Linked DNA regions of Tribolium castaneum. The protein of the gene in region 1 purifies or fractionates together with the protein of each later gene. This does not show direct contact. Links are inferred from orthologs where the notes say so. Each region holds a gene or a part of one and is shown in the gene's direction. Other genes may lie near its edges. The genes, in order: PpV, mitogen-activated protein kinase kinase kinase 7, serine/threonine-protein phosphatase 6 regulatory ankyrin repeat subunit A, polo, TIP41-like protein and CCT2.

Region 1 (3,029 bases):
CTATTCGGTGCTGCCATCTTATTCAAATTAAGAATCATAGGCCACTAGACAGACCTTAATTCTGCAGTCCATGCTAGCAGACAGTAACAAATGAGCCGTTCGGGGGAACCACCGAATGGCCGCAATTCCTTTCGAGTGCCCCGACCACGTATGAATATGTGCTTTCGGAAGGAAACACTTCTCCGGGGGGCTGTCCGATTTCAAATTGACACCAACATCTTGAGGTGCATGTAGAAAACTCCTTCCCTGATAATCCACAGCGTCTGAAACTGTAACAAAACCAGCAATTTTCGCAAAATTCACCCAATAGTCACTCTTACTGTGCAAAATTGATTTTTCCTCGATTGGTTTGTCTTCTGTGGGTTTCCCCTTCTTGTTCTTTTTCGACAATAATTCGTCCAACTCTGCTGCCTCCTCATCAGACGGCTTCATGACCCTTTGTTCGTCCACAAAACCACCCCAGGGCCCCAAAAACCCCTCAATATCGCTCGGGTCGTTATTCTTTTTACGTTTTCTCTTATCTAAAGGTCTCAGCTTGGTTGATTCAAACACTGTTTTTGCTTCCGGGTCAATATCATCGCATTGGCCAGTCGTTGTAACAACTTTGGTGCCTTCAGCGGCACTGCCCACAGTGGGGTCCAGAGCGTAACCAAAACTGTTAAACGTCCGTCTTTGGTTTTCGAATTGGAACTCGTTCACATACGCTGGCTCAACGTAACCCGAAAGTATGTTTCGGGTGCATTGTTGCTGCTGGGTCTTGAAGGGGTTCTCAGGGCCCACCATGGGCGAGAACAACTCCTCGTATTTGGGGTTAAAAGTCACTTCCTGGGCGCTGGGGTCAACGTGCTGGATGCACTCTTCAGACCCCTAGAAGGCATACATTTAGTAAAAATACGCTAATAAGGTAGATCACGCACCGTGGGTAACACGACAGGAGCCGCACACACTTGGAGTTTGTTCTTGATTGAAAATTCGGGGTCCGCTGGGGGCTCCTCAGGCTTAACCTCCTCTTCGTCACTGTCTCCGTAACCTTGCAACGCCAGCATTTTGCACAAATGCAATACTCAAGTCTCAAAATGTGTAATTTGAATCAACTTTTAACCTAAAACACTAACAACTGTCAACTGTCAAAAGCAAACCATAGAGCGAGGCTGGCGCCTATAGATAATTATTTTTCCAATTATTTTAAAATTATAAAGACATGAAAATTGCCCGAACACCGGGAATTTAATTTCAGTTTAGTTAATTTTTCAATTTTCGTCGAAATTTAATTAATTCATTCGGTGGGTTCGTCCGTTTGTACGTCTGTGGTTTTCAAATTGTCATTTGTCACTTGCAAACTGTCACATCTTTTTGGTTATCTTCACTCCAATTTACCAAATTTCGGCCTTTTTGCTATGTTTTATGGCATTATTTGCCGCAAGACGTTGATTATTGCCGGGCTTTGACGTTCAATTGGTGTTGGAAAAGTCGCTAGACCAACATGTCTTCAGAGCTGGATCAATGGATTGAAATCGTGAAAGACTGCAAGTATTTGACCGAAAACGACTTGAAGAAATTGTGCAGTATCGTATGTGATATTCTTTTGGAGGAGTCGAACGTGCAGCCCGTCTCCACTCCTGTGACGGTCTGTGGGGACATCCACGGCCAGGTGGGTTTTGTGCGTCCCCTTGGCTCAGTTTACAGTCGCGTGTTTTAGTTTTATGACCTGGAGGAGCTGTTCCGGCAAGGGGGCCAAGTCCCTGACACCAATTACATATTTTTAGGCGATTTTGTCGACAGGGGGTATTACAGTCTTGAGACTTTTACTCGATTGCTCACTTTGAAGGCGGCTTATCCGAACAAAATTACTTTGTTAAGGGGGAACCATGAGAGTCGACAGATTACGCAAGTTTACGGTTTTTACGACGAGTGTCTGACTAAATATGGCAATGCTAACGCTTGGAAATACTGCTGTTCTGTGTTTGATCTGCTTACTGTCGCTGCGTTAATTGACGAGAAAGTGCTTTGTGTACATGGGGGCTTAAGTCCGGATATTAAAACGGTTGACCAGATTCGGACTTTGGAGAGAAATCAGGAAATTCCGCATAAAGGTGCCTTCTGTGATTTAGTTTGGTCGGACCCTGAGGATGTGGACACCTGGGCGTCGAGTCCCAGGGGGGCTGGGTACTTGTTCGGGGCGAAGGTCACTCATGAATTCATGCAAATTAACGCGCTCACATTAATTTGCAGAGCTCATCAGTTAGTCCACGAAGGTTGTTTTTGGTGTTTCGTTTTTGCGATAATTTAATGTGTCTTTCAGGTTATAAATACATGTTTGATGATAAGCTGATAACGGTTTGGTCGGCCCCCAATTATTGCTACCGTTGTGGCAACATTGCAAGTATTTTGGAATTCCAGACCACGGATAAAGTCGAACCGAAATTATTCAACGCCGTACCCGACAATGAACGAGTTATTCCAAGTAGAAGTGTTACTCCGTATTTTTTGTAATTTTATGACGCTAGTATCAATAAACAATTTTCAAATTTGGCGCCTTTCTCATCGTCGCACCTGCGCACTGCTAACCTAATCATCCATCTTTTTCCAAGTGTCGTCTGTCAAGAGATAGGCCACATTTGCGTATTTCTGTAGATATTCGAATTATCTACAGTCATCTTTGTTAAATTTCACTCGAAAAATGGTCCAAAAGAAAGTAAGTCGCGTGTTTTCATTGATGGGGCCCTTATTTTCCATATTATTTGGCAAAATTCGGGCTGGGATTGACATAACCTACAATCTTTGTTGTGGCATATTTTAACCGTGTTGGTGGTTTTAGCCGAAGAAGAAGACCGGTAAAAAGGTGGCGGCGGCCCCTCTTGCCGTGAAAAAAGTCGAACAGAAGAAGGAGGTGAACCCCCTTTTCGAAAAACGCACGCGCAATTTTGGCATTGGTACGTACCCCTTAACCCAGCTAAGGCCCCTTTAAACTTAAGTCCTAACCAGGCCAGGACATACAGCCCCCTCGTGACCTGTCCCGCTTCGTGAAA
Region 2 (4,041 bases), on another chromosome or scaffold:
CGTTTTTGAATCGTTTAAAGTCTATCTGTGTTACTAGTTTATTGATGTTTATATGTTTTAACTCTCAAAAAGTCAGTCAGTATAATATTTACAATATATTTATTGAATGTTGTATTCCGTAATATTAATAAATTGTGCATAATGATCTGTTTATTTTTGTTTCAATTCGGCCTCTTTCTCCATCTCCGCCAGCTTCCGCTCGCTGATTCGCGCCCGGACCTTGCTAGACCACTGGAAGATCTTCGGGAGGGCGGTGAGCAAAGGCGGGGGTCTGTAGCCCTTGCGGAAGTAATCGGCGATCACTTCGTTACCGTGGTCCACAGCCACTTTAATGGGGCTGCGCTTACAGCTATCCACAACGTGGATTTTAGCCCCCTTTTCGACCAAAACCACCGCCAGTTCCAGAAAACCGGTCACCGCAACAAAGTGGAGACAATTGCGCCCTGAGTCGGGCTCCCTCATATTAATATTAACCCCGTTCTCCAACAAGAGCAGCACCAAATCAATCTGACGAATGCAGCGGCAATACAACACCATTTCTGCAAATTTTAATAATACTTTTTTCGTTTGGATGATCAAGTACCAAAAAAAATATGGAGTGGTCTTTGGTGCTCGACGCTCATATTGGCCCCACTTTGGAACAAGGTTTTGGCAATTAGGTAATTATTGGTGTCTAGGATGCTCAAAGAGAGGGGCGTATTGCCAAAGCAGTCAACAACATTGACCTCAGCCCCGAATTTTAGCAACTTTATCGTAATACCGTAATTCTCATTCTGTACGGATAAATGCAGGGCTGTTTTATTAAACCGGCCGTAAATATTGGGGTCGGCTCCGTGTTCCAGCAAAAGAAGGGCAAATTTTTTGCAGTCGCATAAGCAGGTAACATGCAGGGCAGTGTAACCGTGGGCGTTCCGCACATCCACGTCAAATTTTTTATACTCCAAAAGGCGGTACCCCAGGATGTAGTCGTTCCGTTCGGCGAGTAAATGCAAAGGGGTGACACCGTACTCCGTGGAGCGAATGTTCGGGTTTACTCCTTTACTCAAACACTTTGTTATCTCAGGAATGTTCCGGGAGTAAACGGCAACGAAGAATTTCTTCTCTAGGACTTTCTTGCCCACACTGCTCATCACGTCACTCTCGACTCGCTTCTTGAAGCCCTGGTGCCCCCGTTTGTGTAAATCCCGTTCGCTCGACATGATTGACACTCGCGCCGAGTTTTGAACACGGCTGGGGATTTTCGAGCCGAAGGTGACACTTGATCTGAAGGATACATAACCAAATTTATGGTGGTTGATATTTATCGAGATTTTTCGTAATTTTGGGGCTGTCTGGACGCTCTGTGGCCAAATATGTGATTACTTCGGTATTTCGATGGCGTCTTCGGAAAATGAGGGTAGCGTATGTCAGTACACCGTCGAGGAAATCAACTACAATGAAATTCAGAAGCTTGAGGTAAAGTAGCCCTGGTTGTGGCCACCGACACATTGTGGTTTCAGGCAGTCGGTGAGGGCAGCTTTGGAGTCGTTTACAAGGGAATCTGGCGCGATGCGTTCGTGGCGGTCAAAAACATCGTCTCTGAGAACGACAAAGACGCCTTTATTGTGGAAGTCCGGCAGCTGTCAAGGGTCAAGCATGAGAACATTGTCAAGCTGTACGGGGCCTGCACCAAGGGCCCCAACATCTGCCTTGTGATGGAGTACGCCGAAGGGGGCTCCCTCTTCAATATTCTACACCACGCACCTAACGTACACTACACGATGGCCAACGCCATGTCCTGGCTCTACCAGTGCGCCAAAGTAAGGGGCGAAGCCGCACCGACACACTCTTAACTCGGTTTTCCAGGGGGTCGAGTATCTCCATGGCATGAAACCCAAACCTTTGATACACAGAGACCTCAAACCGCCCAACTTGCTCCTGATAAACGGGGGCACCTTGCTAAAGATATGCGACTTTGGTACTGCCACAGACATGACAGCAATCATGACCAACAACAAAGGCTCGGCCGCGTGGATGGCCCCCGAGGTCTTTGAAACGTCAAACTATACGGAAAAGTGCGACGTCTTCAGCTGGGGCATAATCCTCTGGGAGGTGTTATCGCGACTTAAGCCTTTTTTCCACATTAAGGAGTCGGGCTACCCTTCGGCTTTCATGATCTTGTGGGCGAAGCACAGCGGCCGGAGGCCCCCTCTCATCAGGCACTGCCCCCCAGTCATCGAAAAACTGATGACACAGTGCTGGGATCAGGAGGCGGCCAAGCGGCCGAGCATGAAGGAGGTGAGTGCACTATTTTTTGAGTGGGGAAAGTCAAAGTTTGGCTTCCAGATTGTGAAAAAAATGGAAGTTATTTGCTCGTTGCTTCCGGGCGCCGACGAGCCGTTGCAGATCAGGGGCGGTGACGATGTGGTTTACAAGGAGGAAATCGAAGAGTTTGAGGACTGTGTGGAGGAAATAGACCAGTTCCCCGCCAGCACCAACGGCGATAATTGTGTCAAATCGCTGCCCCAGCCGAGTGCCGAGATGTCGCGGCCCCTCAACATTAAAATAAGCCCTGTAAGTCGGTTTTTACGTCGCATGACGTAATTGTCTTTTAATAGAAAATGAGTAAAATTGATTAATTGAGTCGTTTGTTGCAGGACGCATGGGATTTACACGATCTCGACATGCAGCTGAGAACCATGCCCGGCCTTGATAAGATGGTACCAAAAAACGGTAGGTTGTGTTGTTCTTGTGGGCTCGTTGTAAATTTAGCCGAGAGCATTGGCTTAGTGCATGACTCAACAACTTGCAATTCTTGAAAACACTCGAGGGGCTATAATTTTTATTTGTCGCAGTGTTAGTCACACACGGACCAATAAAAATAAGATCAAAGCCGAGTCGACTTGTCTGCACGGCTTCGTCGCGGTATTTTTATCGCTTTGCGACCTTAAAGTCGTGCAGGTCCGGCGCTTTAAGCTCGATTTGGCCGAAATTCCGGTTCCTCCTCCTAAATACGTGCGAAACGAAGGGGCATCTGTTTTTAGACGCGCTGACTCAGCGAGACCGATTTAGAGTAGTTTGTTTAGTTGGAAGTTTCTTGATCGGCCTGCCAGGGACGGCCTGGCCCCAATTCACCACCGGCCTCCGAAATGCGGAAAAGGCGGCTATTTGCAGGTTTTACGCGCTTTGAGGCCTTGCCTAAGGCCATTTCCGCAGAAACAATTCCAAATTTTGGCTTGGGACTACGGACGACTAAAAGTTAGGATGCGAAACGATGGACGAATAAAACGTTCTCGTCGCCAGAGAGCGCACTTATTCATGGTTGTAGGACATGGTGCAAAATTTTTGTTGTAAACTATATTTAAAAAAAATCAAACTTTTGCCCCATATTTTTCAAAAAACGTTGGGACGAAAGTTTTGGGCAGTCCGTCGCTGGCAGCGCCTTGCTCTGTCCCTGGCGTCTTCCCCGTATCGCTATTTCAGTCGCACCCATGCGGCCGTTGCCAGTTTCTTTCCAGCGGCTGGTAGTCTCGCGTAGTTTTTCGAGTGGCCCCCGAACATAAACAATCGACACGTTCCTATCGATCCTGTCCGAAATCTCATCATGTTTCGTACCGTTTGAGATTTTTCCTTGATTTTTTTCGTGCGATATGTGTGACTGTCCGAGAGCCAGCGTTTTCACCACGCATGAGAGCCACCGAAGTTGGATCATTTTCAAAGAGTGCAAGACTGATAACGGTAAATAGTAATTGTTTTGATGGATTATTTTTACGTAAAGTAGCCGGGGAAGGACTAAAATAAATTCGGCCACAATCTTCTTAGTCACGTTTTTATTTTTGAAAGGACGGATGTGTAATTAATCGAGTTTGTGATGTAATGGCATGGAAATCGCACGTCCGGAAGTGCATTCGTGGCGAACGGACACCTGGACGATGGCGGCAGACCGTAGTTGTAATTAAAAAATTTTCAACCCTTTGTGTGAATGTTTCCCGGTTCTGTTGTCACAAGCATGATGGTTTTATTGTTGCATTTTCCGACCTTTCCGACCTAATAATCGATGAC
Region 3 (4,203 bases), on another chromosome or scaffold:
ACTGCAAAATGTAAGTTTTTTCTGGTACTATTACGATTTTAAACAGTGGTTTCAGTGAATGAGCTGCTGACGAGAAAACTGGCGTCAGTTGATTTTCCACGAAGGAATTTTCTCTCGTAGTACTGTATTTTGTTATTAATTTTTGATACAAATAAAAAATGTTACAAATGTGTGGTAATAAATTAAATTAATTGAAAGTACTTAGTACCTCGTTAATTATCTATTTTTGGTACTATAATAATCTCAATAAAACTAAGTCAATATGATATCCCAATAAAAAAATCAACAAGAGGACAATATCAAAAGTGCGCCTTTTTGGCGTAAAATTGTCTGAGGATTCCAAATATGTCATCATTTTTCTTCCACAATTTATAGTTTTGGAGATATTGAGTTTGCACAATTTTTTTACTGAACCGTTTTCTATTAGTAAAGTGCTCATTTTGTCGACTTTAATTTTTTCATAATTTGAAGTTAACATTAAGATTTGTTTTGTTCAGCTTCATGTTGGCCACACTGTTTTTCTTGATTTCAAAGCCATCTTTTGCCACCGCTAACTTACATTTGATTAGTTGGCCATGCTTTGATCATGCTTTTACAAAATTGAAGCAAAGGATGCAATATATGTTTATATAGCTGGATTTTCAGATACCATTACAGCGAAAATAAAACTGTATTGTGTGTTTGTAATTAGAGTTGTACACGATTATTTCGCGAGTAATTAATTGGTAAAATAAAACTTACGACGATATTGCGCGCTGACAAGTAGTACGCCACAAAATTGAAAGTTTTACGTTTTTTATTTCGCATTTTGAGCCGGTCAAGTGTTTAGGTTTAAAGTTTCGTTAATTAACAAATAAAAATATACAGGACATTTACCTGAGGATTGTTGTAACATGTTCGGCATCCTGGCGTCTTCAAATTTCCAGGAGACGGTCATATTATGGTCATATTCACTTACACTGCCACAATAGTCAATAATAATTATTCACACACAAACTAACAGCGATTATTAACGCTTTAAAAACAAACCTAAATCTCTTACACAACTTTTGAATTCAAATTTTTCTAGAATCACAAAACAGACGCGGCGCACAATCGGCGGATGATTACAATATCACGTACCAACATGACAGTGCAAGTTGCAAAAAACACTAAACAATTTGAATGTTTGTGAATGTTTTAATTATCTGAGGTATTTAAAAAGGCCCAACTGATGGAAAATCTAAACCACTAATGAATTTTGAATGAATATTGGACATTATTCTAAAAAAAAAACTAAAAAGTGGTGGTTACTTTTAATCGACCAACTTGTTACTGTTTGATGAAATTTTTGGAACAAAACCACATTAAGCAAGCAGTTTAATTTAAACAATAATTGCAGAAAAATTAATTAATTTGTTAATATTTTACCCCAGTACAGTCCCACCAACCATTTGACGTCTGACATTATTTTGACATTTAAGTTTACGTAGATAATTTTAATTTATTCCGCAATGGTTTAACCACTTCCCCCTTATTTCATGTTTCGCCTTAAGTTGCAAGTAACTAACAATGGGACTGTACCAGTTGGAGGAACAGGTAAGCGAAGTCCCCCCAAGTGAGGTTATGTTAACCATGTTGTCAGCCCCCCATCGTCAAGGCCATCTTCGCGGGCTGCGAGCCCGAGAAATACAAAGAACTGATTAAATCGAAACAGGACGTAAACTGCCTTGATAGCAAAAAGCGCACTCCTCTGCACGCGGCCGCGTTCACCGGCGACGCCGCAATCGCCTCCGTCTTGCTCTCGAACGGGGCCCGAGTCAACGCGAAAGACACCAAGTGGCTGACGCCGCTCCACCAAGCCTGCTACATCCGCTCAAGCGAGACAGTGTCCATTCTGTTGAACAATAACGCCGACGTCAACGCGCGAGACAAGCTCTGGCAGACGCCCCTGCACGTGGCGGCGGCCAACGGGGCGTACAAATGCATCGAGCAGTTGCTCAACCACGTGCCCAACCCCAACGTCACCGACAGAGGGGGGCGCACGGCCCTGCACCTCGCCGCCTACAGCGAAATGGCCGATTGCGTGGAACTCCTCATTTCGGGGGGCTGTATTGTCAACGCGTACGACAAGAAGGACTGCCGCCCCCTGCACCGGGCGGTGCAGGTGGGCAGCTTGAGCATAATCGAGCTGTTGTTAAAATACAAAGCTGAGATTAACGCTAAAGACAGGAACCAGTACACCCCCTTGCATGTGGCGGCGGCCGGGGGCACAGACGCCGTGTGCCGCCTTTTGATCAGTCACGGGGCTGACGTGAACGCGCAGAATGTCTTCGGGAACACCCCCTTGCATATTGCGTGTCTCAACGGACACCATTTGGTCTGCCAGGAGTTGATCAACTCGGGGGCTGATATCGAAGCGGTGAATTATCGGGGGCAGACGCCCCTGCATATCGCTGCGGTTAGCACGAATGGGGTTGATTGCATGATGTTGTTATTGACGCAAAAGGTTGATATTAATAGGCAGAGTCTCGATGGTAGGACTCCGCTACATATGACGGCAATACATGGGAGGTTTACGAGGAGTAAGATTTTGATTGACAAGGGGGCGACGATTGATTGTCCCGATAAGAATGATTGTACCCCCTTGCATATTGCGGCGAGGTATGGGCACGATTTGTTGACCAATACATTGTTGTCTTATGGGGCTAATCCCTCACAGAGGGGCTACGAAGGGAGGCAGCCCCTTCATATGTGCTGTTTGGCCGGTTATGTAGAGTGTTGCAGGAAGTTACTGCAAGCTGGGGTGGATTTAAACGCTGTGGATGATTCGGGGAAAACGCCAACTCATTGCGCAGCGTATAAAGGGTAAGAATAGTCGAAAAAAATAATGGATTGATTTTAACTTACGAGTAATACGAGTAATTATTAATATGTATTTCAAAAGGTAAAAATTTTAAATATAATTAACGAATACATAAAATATGAAAATTAAATAAAAAATATCGAGAAAAGAAAACTTCAAGATTTGACGAGTCTGATTAAAAAATTAAATTAAAATTATTATACTATGGAGGATGATGCTATGGAGATTCTTTATGTGAAAATGAGAAAAAAGAAAAGGAAAAAAAAACAAATAGACTGTTTCTAATCTTAAGCAACAAATGTTATTATCAAAATTATTTTTCTCTTCGAATTCTTTTAGCTTTAAATTTGTTGTTGGGATTCTGTTTAACAGAGAATTCTTTTCTTATACAGAAACTCTGAATTTGTGCTTTATATTATTCCAAAGAATACAAATACGTTATTGCCATTTTTTGTTAAGAACTGAAATATTCTTGAGAGGGGTAAAGCCTCCTGAAGATTGCGGACAAGGGTCCTTTTTCAAGAGGCGTAAAATTTTGTTTTGGAAGAAACTTTTTGTAAATTTTTGTGGCAGCTTTAGATTTATTGGGTAATTTTCTTTACAAAATGTTGTTTTTGTTATTATCTGTACGACGCACTATTTTATACAAAAACGGGTTTTTTCTTCTGATTTGCTGTTTTTCTCTTTTCTTTCGTCTATAGGTTACTTCCTACCCTCACTTATTTTTTGTTGATCTTTTTAATTTTTTCTTTATATTTCCATGTTCAATTCTCTATCAGACTTTTATCTTTCCTGTTCTTGGTTTATGTATCGCTGTAGTCGGCTCTTCCTTCTCTCATCTTTGTTAAATCCCATTTCTGTTATCCCTCCTGTCTTTTTTACTTATTTTTTTCTCTATTTACCCTCTTTCTTTCTATGTTCTCTCAGCCAAAGAAATTCAGGAATCATTTCTGGGCATAGGTCTGTAGAAACTTTTTTCTTATATCTTATGTTCTTGGTTTGCGTATTGTTGTTCTCTACCCTTTCTTCCTTCCTCTTCCTTCCCTCTTCTTTTTTAATTCCCACTTCTGTTATTCCTCCTGTCTTTTTTATTTTTTTTTCTATTTACTGTCCTCCTTTCCCGGTTCTCTCAGTCAAAGTAAATCAGAGAGCATTTTTGAACATAGGTTATAGAATCTTTTTTCTTATTTTTTTGTATTCTTGGTTTGCATATCGCTATTCTCTACTCTTCCTTCCTTCATCTTCTTTCTCAAATCCCACTGCTGTTGTCATTCCGGTCTTTTTTTATTTACTATTTTTTTATGTTTTTCTGTCTTCCCTTCCCTCTTTTCCCAGTCAAAGGAAGTCAAGGAGAATTT
Region 4 (3,318 bases), on another chromosome or scaffold:
GATGTAAATTGTCGTACTTTATTTTAACAATTTATTTACCTAAAATTTATATTTTAAGTGTCGTGTAAAATGAGTAGCTACAAACTTATCTGATATAATGCTGAAATTACCAAAAATTGACAGTTTTTCTGTAAAAGAAAGTGAAAAAAGTTTAATCTGTAAATTTGCCAACCAATTCAACTAAACTGGAGCTTAGAGCACAGGACAGACATAGCTACAAGAAGTAAAGATTATTGTATTTTTTAAAATGTTTTTTTTTAATTCATTAATTTTATTTCAAATTTAAAACTTTAGTTTTTTACAAAAAAGGCTAATAAGTTAATAATACTCTTAAAATAGAATTTTTGTAGAATATAAATAAGATGGGTGAATATTAAGGTAAATTATGAATGGGGGCTGTAATGGGGGCCCGCGAATGAGTTTGGATCCCACGCCCCAACTGGTATCCTTACGCCACTGGTTGACATACTAAGTTTTTTTTCGAAAAACTTCACTAAAATGGACTGAAAAATTACAAATTGATCTTATTTTGTCAATTTAATTCGTTTTTGAACCTGAAACTCATTTATTGATTTAAAAAACTCAAAATAAAAATGATGGATGATGTTGTGTCTGTTTCACTCGATTTTGTTGGTTCTTGAGCGAAATTTTTTGTAAAATTATCTCAAAAATGTTATAATTTTCTCAAAAACGGAGTCATTGCCATTTTTTTTGATTTTTTAAACAGGGTTTTGAGTTTCTTACATAAATATATTGAGCAGAAAAATGACCTAATTGGGCAAAAAAAGAATTTTTTTTTAATTTCTGGGTTTTATTGGCACGTTTTTAATGCAGAAGCGTTGTTATTAATTATTATTTCACAAAATTGTCAACAAAAAGCCAAAAAATCAAGGAAAAATTTCGCGCTTATTCTGCAGCAACCGTTGCATTAAGCATCTGTTGCTTTAATTTTTTTTGCTGTTGATAAGTAAGTAATTGCTGGACGCTGTTTTCAAAACTGCAGACAGATTTTTTCTTTCAGTTCTAGTTTTGAGGTAAAAGGACACAACTTTAATTAGACATTAACTTTTCTGTTGCGTCAGATTTTTTTCGCTGTTCTTGGACGCTGATTTCAAAACTGCCTACAGTTTTAAATGTATCTTTAATAAAAAAGATGATTTTCCTCCGATTAATGCTAGTTTTCGAGAAAATAATCGATTCCCTAGATCATTTTACATTTGTTTACAGTAAAACAATACCACTTTTTTTAGTTTTGCCGTAATTGCTGTTTGAAACTTGAGTGTGAATATTTATACGAGTTTTTGATATTCATCGGGCAATAACTCCGGAATTAATACACGTAACTCTATTAAATTTATTAGTAAATTATTAAGAACATTTCCATTTTCTCGACGCTAATCGATTCCCAGATTATTTTACATAGTAAGTCTACGTTAAAATAGCAAAAAAATAATATAATTAAAAAGTGGCGAGATATTTTTTTCTACGACCTTTAGTTTTTGTGATATAAGTAGCTCCTATTAGCACTTTCTACACTCTTCATAAGCCCTAAAATAAAAACTCGAGCTGATGGACAATCAACTGTTAAATTTACGGCAACAGACAAAAGTGAAATTTTGTAACCAGTGAATTAATAATTGAATCATCTTCACTTTTGTTCCGTGTTTTGTTACCTTATACGTAAAATTGTAATCATTTCAAAACCACAACCAGTTTATTATCTCTGATAATTTGTATTCTTTGATTTGCCATGAGCGAATTTTTAATATACCAAAAAAAAATGCATTGAAATATGTGCTGTAATTTCGGTTATTTTTTCCTGTAGTCTATGATGGAGTTGCAAAAGCGCCGAAAAATGCTCACCGAGCCCGAAACTCGCTTCTACATGCGTCAAATCCTGAACGGAGTAAGTTACCTCCACCAGAGGCGCATCATCCACCGCGATCTCAAACTCGGCAATCTCTTCCTCAACGATGAACTGACGGTGAAAATCGGCGATTTTGGTTTAGCCGCAACGATAGAATACGAAGGCGAACGCAAAAAAACCCTTTGTGGTACTCCGAACTATATCGCACCGGAAATCCTCCAAAAGAAGGGCCACTCATTCGAAGTGGACATCTGGTCCATCGGGTGCATCATGTACACACTCCTGGTGGGCAAACCACCGTTTGAGACACGTTCGCTTAAAGAAACGTACTCAAGGATTAAGAAATGCGAATATCAGTGCGTTGAAGGGATTTATCGATTTTTTATTGTTTTAAAAATTGAATTTTAGTTTCACGACGACTATTTCTCCAGCGGCGAAGAGCATGATTATGCTCATGTTGCAGTCAGATCCGAAATCGCGTCCAAAAGTAACCGAATTGCTACAACACCCGTTTATTACCGATGGGTATTGTCCGTCTTCGTTGCCGGTCAGTAGTCTGACGATGGCACCCAGGTTCCAGAAATATGACGTGTCGATGAGGAAACCGCTTAGTGGAATCAACAACGGTAAGGGACAAATTCTCATATTCGTCAAAATCACACAATTTCTCAAGCTTTCTGGGCAAAGTTTAACCCATCTTTATAAGTAAACCGTTCATTAGAATTTTTTTTTGAAAGTTACATTACATTTTTGCTAGAAATTGGCGAAATTCAACTGTTTCTAAACGTAGTACCTTTTATAAATAAAATTGAGAGAATTTTAGAACTATATCATTGATATTTTCGAAAATCTGTTCAAAATCTGTACGAATTATTATGTAGTTTTATTGGTTAATTTATTGTTATAAGTTGTACACTGATGAAGAAATGATAAACAATAATACAATTAAATAAACTGATGACAGAAAAATAAAAAAAGATTAAAAACACATCAAAGACTTTACTTAATCTGCTATTGTTTTTAACCGAAATTTCGCCAAGAATAACCTGAAATAAGTGAAATATGTTATAATTTCCTAAAGAAGTAGTCAATTCTATATTTTTTTAAATTTCTGAGTTTCTTTCCTAAATATACCGAGCTGAAAAATTAATCTAATTGGGTCAAAATATTTGTTAATTTATTCTAATAAGTTGTACACTGACGCCGAACTAAAAACTTAAGAAAATGATAAACAATAACACAATAAATTGAACAGATGACAGAAAAAAAAACAAAAAGATTAAGAATGCATCAGAGACTTGACTTAATAGTTGGCTTGATAATTGTATGTTGTTAATTTAAAATTGAGAATTAGAATGAAATGCAGCTTAGTATTTAATAAAACTAAAAAGTAATGGGTTGTACACAGAGTTATCAGGTCAGGTCAGGTCAAGTTTTGAAACCAATTTAAT
Region 5 (3,090 bases), on another chromosome or scaffold:
GTTCGTTACGGCCCTGGAACACTTGAGCCAGTGTAATAACAACGTGTTTATAATTCAATTAAATTAGGATTGAATTTTTCAGCAATAATCCTGTGTTCGAACATGTAGCACGTTTTCGATTTCTCATTTATAAAACGGAAGTGAAACCATAACTCTGAATTAACGAGTTTGGACCACTTTTATTTGACTACAATTCGCGAAAAATGATTGATTGTTTAATTGGCAAACAAATTAATGCGGAAATTAACTGATTACGGTCTCTCGAGTCGAGTGGTGAAACTGTTTACTTACCAATGGTCGTTAAAACGGTCGATGAAAAAAACACCGCTTTCAACGTGGTCCATTTCGCAACTTGTTCTTTGGGAAATAATGGTATTCCCTCTCTGCACGCACTTTGCAGAATTTTCTCGTAATTCTCCAATTCGCCCGATATAAAGTAATCAAAATTTTTCAAATCGGTGTTATTTACAATCTGTTGTATAAAATTCTCTCTTTTCAGCAAGAGCGTGTTGTTGAAATGATTAAGTCGTGAAATTTCAGCAGGATATTCGAAACGTCGGAAAATCTGAAAGAGAAATATTTACACAAGGAAAGTGGGCTGAATTGCTCGTTTTAAATTTAGTTAAGAATAGTTTGCGTAAATTTGTTTTATTTCTAATTGTGTGGCTGTTTATTTCCCGAGACACGAAAAGCACTAACGAAGAAACTTTTTCAACCAATAAAAACTTGATCTTCGGTCTGGTATCGCGTTTATTTGAAACTTTCGCGATTAAGTAAATTGATTCAAAAGTCGTACCAATCCCCCCGCGACTGTGTACCCCATGAGAGTTATCAAAAGCCCGATGTGTTGGAGGGCGGCTTTCAAGCGCAGTCTTTTCCACCAATTTTTAAAACGTGTTTTAAAGTCCATGGGAGAGCTTATGTAAACCGTAGTTTCCATCATTTCGTCCATGGTTGCGTACAAAAATCACAAACACGAACACATCACCCTTGAAGCTGGGCTGGAGTCAACTAGACGCGAAAGCGTCGCGACGCTTTATGATACTGAATCTTGGAAGTATACAGATGCGCTTAGCGCTCCCAAATGATGCTTTATCATTCCGGGGACGGCTTTTTCGATAATGGGGCGGCCAACGAATCAAAACAAATAACAGAATAATGATTTACCAATTTTCAAGTTTATTTTATTGCATTGCGTACAATTGATTAACTTTAAGTTAATCTGCGATATCAAGGCTATAAGCAAAAAACACGAATTTTATGTAATTTTTTTGAAAACATTTTTTTGCAAACTTTAAATTTGGCGCTGATGCGTTGCGTCTGGCGCAAGCGCACTGTTATAGGACGCAAATAAAACGATTCAAAGTTGAGTAAAGTGAGATATTAGAACACAGGGTCCATTTTTTACAATTAAAGACAAGTCCCTTGTCTTAAAATTGAGGTAAACCGGTGCAAACGTCAAATTTGTCACTGTCTCCAAGTCAGTCATTTTTTAGGTTATAATGTCTGCAGTCACCCCAAATAAAAACGAAATTGATATCCAAAGACTACCCGTAAACTCCGAAGAGCACATTTTTCATGATTGGGTGATAAAGTACAAAAAATCGCATATTCTACACTCGATTTGTACGAGTGCAGAAAAATGCAAAGACCTGTCACAAGAACCTTGTTTACTTTGCTTGTAAGTTTGGAAATGAGGTAAAGTTTGGGCTAATTTTTGTGCTTAAGATACACCCGAACTCTGGATATCCCGCATTTGCCTGAAATGGTGTTTCCAAATAATGTTTTAACTCTTACACACAGTTCAGGGGGGCAAATTGAGTTTAATGCTTTGGATGCGCTTAAAACTGTCGCCAATGGAAAACTGCCCATAAAAGTGGCTTGTTCCGAGGAGTGGAGTGAGTCAAGGTTTGAAAATTGTAGTTTATTGAGGGGGAAAAAATTGATTGGGTTTTTTCAGGCCACCTGAGCATTTGAGCCAAAAAATTAAACCGTTTGATTGGACGTTTAGCAATGATTATAAAGGGACAATCACCGGTCCTGTGCAAGTAGTGCCAACTGAGGAACGGATCAATATTGAGAAACTAAAGGAAAAGGAAAAGATTTTGTTCTATCAAGAGTTAATGCTTTATGAGGATGAGTTACACGATAATGGGATTTCTTCATGCACTATAAAAATCGTAATTTGTTGTGTTATGCAATGCTTGTTGTTTAAGTGTGTTTTTAGCGAGTAATGCCCAGTTCTTACTTCATTCTCCTCAGATTTTTTCTAAGGGTAGATAACGTTATGTTAAGAGTAAATGATACCAGGCTTTACCACGAATTTAGCACAAACTACATCCTGAGGGAATTCACAAACAAGGAATGCGCGTTTGGGGATGTCGAGTTACCACTGAATGTTTTTGGAAACCCAAATGTCTTATCCCCCCATATGCCTGTAAGGACTGCAGTTAACGAGAAATTGATTTTTGGTGAATGTAAACCACCAACAGAAGGGGCCGCAGATCAGTGTTCCATGCAAAGTACCAGCAAAAACGACTAATTTTCTGTAAATAAGTGCATTTAATAAATTATTTTTTGAAATTCAAAATTTGTGTCATAAAAAATAAAATCCCCAACCTTCTCTATTATCCTATGGTCAAGGACAAAACTAAAGTCCCTAAATTGAAGCATGTCCTTTATAAACCTCATGCCAGATTGTTAAAATTTTTCACAATTGTTGGTTTACTTATGATAATTTTTACTAATAAAGTCTGTACTAGTGATTTACGTAAGTTTACAAAATGGGCAAAGCGAAAAAAAATCGCAAAGGAGCAAAAGGCGACGACAGGTACAAATCAACAGAAAATGTCAATTTAGATGATTAAAACGTTTTTAGTGAGTCTGAGCCTGAGGTAGAAACGCAAGAATCAACCGACAAAGCAAACAACAAAAAAAGTAAAGCCTCTAAGTAAGTATTTGGAGTTTTTGTCACTCCATTGAGGTTATGTTTGTTGCGAAACACTTGGCATATTTTCAGCTGTAAAAACGTAGTTTTTGCTGCAATTTCACGTTGTTTGGGATTTTTTGGTTCAATTTGACTCATTCTAT
Region 6 (4,242 bases), on another chromosome or scaffold:
ATTACGTTCGCCTTATCTCGCTTGCCCACCTTTCTCAAAAAATGATCAGTGATGTAACAAATTTTTTGAGGCGCCCCCGGACATTTAACCGGGCTGTTTGGAAACGTGAAAATAGCATTCCCGTTTTCAAACTTTTGTAACGCCCTATACGTCCCTTCGACGTACTTTGCCGAGTAATTAGAGCACACCCCTGTGTCACTGTTTAAACCAGCGACTAGACCTGGAATCTACTTGCAAAATTTAACGCCACTTATTTACTTATCAACAAACTTTATCATAATCGGTTTGAAGACCAGTGGCGACTAAAAGAAACTCGTATTCGATTGTATCGCCATTCTGGGTCGTGACGGAATTTGACTGGGGGTTGAATTCGGCAGCTGAGTCTTTCAGCCAAACTGCGTTTTTTGGGAGAACCTCTTTTGTATTTTTCCTTGCATCAGAGAGACTAGAAATGCCGCCCCCAATTAAAGTAAACAGAGGCTGATAGTAGTGATTTTCGCTGGGTTCTAGGATTATGAGCTCGTTCTTTTTGAGGATTTTACTGAATTTTGCGGCCGTGGCACAGCCACCGGTGCCCCCACCCACGACCAGGACCTTGCAACTAAAATTGATTTCGCAATGTTTACTCTAGCAGAAAAACACAAACCTGTGTTTAGCATTGTTAAAGTTCGAGGTAGAAAAGCCCCGCTTAGCGACATGCGAAAAAAACACGTTCATTTTCTCGGTATTTGTTCTGCAAATACCAGGAACAAAAAATTACTTATTAATTAACTATTTTTTACAAAACTTACCCAAAAAGAAATAAGAATGGAAATCAATAAACTATAAAAAACTTTTTGCAATGATTTTCTTATCGTGAATAATGAAACGTTTGATGAGATAAAGAACTTGACTTTAAATAACAAGTAGAGGGAGAGTGAGTGAGTGTTGAAGAATCTCTAATGGAGGTGGAGAGCTTTCCAATTGGTTACGTGAAATTTGCGGCATTACATTAATCAATCAGTTTTAATCAATCTTTTTATCAAAATAAGGTGGGACACATTACGGGGTTCAAGTGGGGGTTTCCTAAATAAACAAGTTTATCAGAATTCAAAGGAACTCCATGAGATTAATGTCAATTTCTGAGCTCTTAAATATTTAAAGATAAAGATATTTGCATATCTTTTACGCTAAATTAATAAATAGCCAATTTTGATAAAAAGTCGACCTAACCTACGAAAAAAAGAATGAAGTGATAATATAAAAATAGTGTGATTTCTAGTGTAATATACACAAATTAGTAATTGTAATGATTGGAAAATATGATTATGACAATAAATATTCGTTCGTATAATCAAAAACTTACGAAAATCAAAACTGGCGCTTGTAGACTTCCACCATCTTCAAAAACATGTTAGTGTTTTACGTTTTTTCGGTGTGGTGCCCTTCGCTTAACTCTATCTCACTTTTACACGAACAAATTGAATTGTTTCATCTCTGTCCCCCACATTTATTTAGTGCATTTCGCATTTAGTTTTTTGACAATTGACAGTGTAGTCAGTGAGTGAGACGGTTCCGTACATAACTCGCAAATATAAGCAAAAAACGTGAAAAAACCACACAAAAATGGTAAGTTTCCCCAATTCGCCCTCGCGTTTATCGCCCAAATTGCGCAAAAAATCAAAATTCGCCGAATTTCCACTCAGACCAAACAAAGTAAAACCAGGTGTGTCATGGAACCGGCGAACCCACGTGCCTCATTTTCAAAGAAATTCTCCCTTTCAGGTCTCGTTAAACCCCGTGCGCGTGTTGAAGCATGAAGCCGAGGAGGAAAAAGCGGAAATTGCCCGCTTGTCGAGCTTCGTGGGGGCGATTGCAATTGGGGATTTGGTCAAAAGTACGCTGGGGCCCAAAGGAATGGACAAGATTTTGGTGTCCAGTGGCAGGAACGCGGGGCAGGTTGAAGTTACAAATGATGGGGCCACGATTTTGAAGTCGGTGGGGGTTGATAACCCCGCAGCCAAAATTCTGGTTGATATGTCCAAAGTGCAGGATGATGAAGTGGGCGATGGGACCACCTCAGTCACTGTCTTAGGTATGGTTTGAATGACTATTTTACGAAATTCGGCGTAAAGTAGCTCTTTTCTGGACTCGCATGTCAATTTCACAAATTTCTATTGTTTAAAGACTTACTTATTTTTTTTTTGCTCCAACATTCTAATTGTAAGGTTTAATAACTTTTGAGACGAAATTAAAAATACGCTTGGAACAATAAAGAGCAAATTTTTTCCTGGCATTAAGTTTCACATATTTTTTAAAGTTAACTAGTTATTAAATTGGTTATGCAAAGAACTAATTTTGTTTCAGCTTCTGAGTTGTTGAAAGAAGCGGAAAAGCTCATAGACCAAAAAATCCACCCACAAACAATCATCGCTGGTTGGCGTAAAGCTGTAGATGTGGCCAGGAAAGCGTTGCTAGACGCCTCTGCTGATAACAGTTCGAATTCGGAAAAATTCCGTGAAGATCTGATGAATATCGCACGAACGACTCTCAGTTCGAAAATTTTATCTCAACACAAAGAACATTTCGCTAAATTAGCTGTTGATGCTGTCATGCGTTTGAAAGGTTCCGGTGATTTACAAGCCATTCAGTTAATTAAAAAATCGGGAGGAACCCTTGAAGAGTCATTCTTGGACGAGGGTTTCCTCCTCGATAAAAAACCAGGCGTCCATCAACCGAAACGCGTCGAAAACGCCCGAATTTTAATCGCCAATACACCAATGGACACCGATAAAATCAAAGTGTTTGGTTCGCACATCAAAGTGGATTCTATGGCGAAAATCGCCGAGTTGGAGTTGGCCGAGAAGGAAAAAATGAAAGACAAAGTAAACAAAATCCTCAAACATAACGCCAACGTTTTTATTAACAGACAGCTAATTTATAATTATCCTGAGCAATTGTTTGCCGATGCTGGCGTTATGGCGATCGAACACGCCGACTTTGATGGCATTGAGCGTTTAGCTTTGGTCACAGGTGGCGAGATCGTCTCAACGTTTGACAATCCTGACCTTGTAAAGCTTGGCAAATGCGATTTGATTGAGCAAGTTATGATTGGTGAGGATATTTTGCTGCGTTTTAGTGGAGTTCCTCTAGGGGAGGCTTGCACTGTTGTGATTCGTGGAGCGACTCAACAAATCATAGACGAGGCTGATAGGTCGCTTCATGACGCTCTTTGTGTCCTTGCGGCTACAGTTAAAGAGAGCCGAATTGTTTACGGTGGGGGCTGTAGTGAGACTTTGATGGCTGTGGCTGTGAGCAAAGCTGCAGCCAAGACTCCGGGTAAGGAGGCTGTGGCGATGGAAGCCTTCGCGAGGGCTTTGCTCCAGTTACCGACTATTATAGCCGATAATGCAGGGTATGATTCAGCTCAGTTGATAAGCGAGTTGAAGGCGGCTCATAACAGTGGGAATGTTACGGCGGGGCTTAATATGGAGACGGGGGAACAGGGCGATATGAGGGCTTTGGGGATCACGGAGTCGTTTGTTGTTAAAAGACAGGTTTTGTTGTCGGCGGCTGAAGCAGCAGAGATGATTTTGCGTGTTGATAATATTATTAAAGCGGCACCGAGGAGAAGAGTCGAGGATAGGGGACACTGCTAATTCGTCAAACTCACTATTTTTACTTGCATTGTATTAGTTGTACAACTAAGTTTTTTGATGTATTTGTATTGATCCATTAACACGTAATAAAACGCTTTCATTTATCGGTTTTGTCACACTTCATCCTCCTTCCGGATTTAAATAGGTTAAGGCTAAGTAAACAGAGAAAAATTCCTTATCTCTCGTTGTATTTGATAAGAGGTATTCATTATGTTGCTCGGAGACGTCTTAATTCTTTTTCTTGTTATTCTAATTACCATCACAAGCTCACAAAAATGCCCAGTTTGCCAGCCGAGAAATTTCATTGAAAACGAACAAAGTGAGTAAACTGCGTATCAATGAATTACCTACATGCATTTTTTAGAATGTGTTTGTCCACAAAACGAGTTTTGTAGAAACAATAAAAAATGTCAAAAGTGTGATCACAATTACACAACTTGGAATGACCTCATCAAGCTACGAAAAGGTGCACTTCAATTTTTTGTTTTCTCATTTATTTAAACACGTTTCAGGCGAGATTCAAACAATTTTCAGTAATTTAATCAAAAGGTACGAAATAAATGTAAACGAACTGAAAACTCTATTGAATACATTTGCCGAGAAA

Evidence for each region.
Region 2: the proteins of PpV (region 1) and mitogen-activated protein kinase kinase kinase 7 purify together in Homo sapiens (affinity purification with western blotting; 3 studies listed by BioGRID and IntAct, with this or other methods). This does not show direct contact. The link is inferred for Tribolium castaneum from reciprocal best matches to the Homo sapiens genes PPP6C and MAP3K7.
Region 3: the proteins of PpV (region 1) and serine/threonine-protein phosphatase 6 regulatory ankyrin repeat subunit A purify together in Homo sapiens (affinity purification with mass spectrometry; 9 studies listed by BioGRID and IntAct, with this or other methods). This does not show direct contact. The link is inferred for Tribolium castaneum from reciprocal best matches to the Homo sapiens genes PPP6C and ANKRD28.
Region 4: the proteins of PpV (region 1) and polo purify together in Homo sapiens (affinity purification with mass spectrometry; 4 studies listed by BioGRID and IntAct, with this or other methods). This does not show direct contact. The link is inferred for Tribolium castaneum from reciprocal best matches to the Homo sapiens genes PPP6C and PLK1.
Region 5: the proteins of PpV (region 1) and TIP41-like protein purify together in Homo sapiens (co-immunoprecipitation; 4 studies listed by BioGRID and IntAct, with this or other methods). This does not show direct contact. The link is inferred for Tribolium castaneum from reciprocal best matches to the Homo sapiens genes PPP6C and TIPRL.
Region 6: the proteins of PpV (region 1) and CCT2 purify together in Homo sapiens (affinity purification with mass spectrometry; 4 studies listed by BioGRID and IntAct, with this or other methods). This does not show direct contact. The link is inferred for Tribolium castaneum from reciprocal best matches to the Homo sapiens genes PPP6C and CCT2.

Annotation. Positions count from the first base shown.
Region 1 is NC_087400.1:5,275,289-5,278,317, forward strand, and holds PpV (serine/threonine-protein phosphatase 6 catalytic subunit), read left to right. Parts: upstream 1-1,320; 5' UTR 1,321-1,483; coding exon 1,484-1,651; intron 1,652-1,699; coding exon 1,700-2,255; intron 2,256-2,302; coding exon 2,303-2,493; 3' UTR 2,494-2,529; downstream 2,530-3,029. Other genes in the region: pre-mRNA-processing factor 17, read right to left, coding at 55-269, 321-867, 918-1,046; RpL7A (large ribosomal subunit protein eL8), read left to right, coding at 2,681-2,695, 2,819-2,933, 2,986-3,029.
Region 2 is NC_087399.1:3,650,993-3,655,033, forward strand, and holds the start of mitogen-activated protein kinase kinase kinase 7, read left to right. Parts: upstream 1-1,241; 5' UTR 1,242-1,374; coding exon 1,375-1,455; intron 1,456-1,499; coding exon 1,500-1,799; intron 1,800-1,845; coding exon 1,846-2,277; intron 2,278-2,325; coding exon 2,326-2,553; intron 2,554-2,636; coding exon 2,637-2,712; intron 2,713-4,041. Other genes in the region: putative ankyrin repeat protein RF_0381, read right to left, coding at 151-539, 584-1,199. UniProt on the Homo sapiens protein: Serine/threonine kinase which acts as an essential component of the MAP kinase signal transduction pathway. Plays an important role in the cascades of cellular responses evoked by changes in the environment.
Region 3 is NC_087401.1:12,715,591-12,719,793, reverse strand, and holds the start of serine/threonine-protein phosphatase 6 regulatory ankyrin repeat subunit A, read left to right. Parts: upstream 1-1,403; 5' UTR 1,404-1,551; coding exon 1,552-1,578; intron 1,579-1,624; coding exon 1,625-2,847; intron 2,848-4,203. Other genes in the region: spindle assembly abnormal protein 6 homolog, read left to right, coding at 1-10, 56-120. UniProt on the Homo sapiens protein: Regulatory subunit of protein phosphatase 6 (PP6) that may be involved in the recognition of phosphoprotein substrates. Involved in the PP6-mediated dephosphorylation of NFKBIE opposing its degradation in response to TNF-alpha.
Region 4 is NC_087398.1:11,004,490-11,007,807, reverse strand, and holds part of polo (serine/threonine-protein kinase polo), read left to right. Parts: intron 1-1,825; coding exon 1,826-2,223; intron 2,224-2,275; coding exon 2,276-2,493; intron 2,494-3,318. UniProt on the Homo sapiens protein: Serine/threonine-protein kinase that performs several important functions throughout M phase of the cell cycle, including the regulation of centrosome maturation and spindle assembly, the removal of cohesins from chromosome arms, the inactivation of anaphase-promoting complex/cyclosome (APC/C) inhibitors, and the regulation of mitotic exit and cytokinesis.
Region 5 is NC_087402.1:4,517,998-4,521,087, reverse strand, and holds TIP41-like protein, read left to right. Parts: upstream 1-1,294; 5' UTR 1,295-1,441; intron 1,442-1,496; 5' UTR 1,497-1,502; coding exon 1,503-1,681; intron 1,682-1,728; coding exon 1,729-1,908; intron 1,909-1,960; coding exon 1,961-2,180; intron 2,181-2,227; coding exon 2,228-2,542; 3' UTR 2,543-2,590; downstream 2,591-3,090. Other genes in the region: TWiK family of potassium channels protein 9, read right to left, coding at 292-565, 797-952; eIF5B (eukaryotic translation initiation factor 5B), read left to right, coding at 2,784-2,830, 2,879-2,950. UniProt on the Homo sapiens protein: May be a allosteric regulator of serine/threonine-protein phosphatase 2A (PP2A). Isoform 1 inhibits catalytic activity of the PP2A(D) core complex in vitro. The PP2A(C):TIPRL complex does not show phosphatase activity.
Region 6 is NC_087397.1:1,023,515-1,027,756, forward strand, and holds CCT2 (T-complex protein 1 subunit beta), read left to right. Parts: upstream 1-1,456; 5' UTR 1,457-1,605; coding exon 1,606-1,608; intron 1,609-1,764; coding exon 1,765-2,074; intron 2,075-2,346; coding exon 2,347-3,638; 3' UTR 3,639-3,742; downstream 3,743-4,242. Other genes in the region: Sqor (sulfide:quinone oxidoreductase, mitochondrial), read right to left, coding at 1-227, 271-601, 647-717; chromosome partition protein Smc, read left to right, coding at 3,849-3,957, 4,003-4,104, 4,151-4,242. UniProt on the Homo sapiens protein: Component of the chaperonin-containing T-complex (TRiC), a molecular chaperone complex that assists the folding of actin, tubulin and other proteins upon ATP hydrolysis.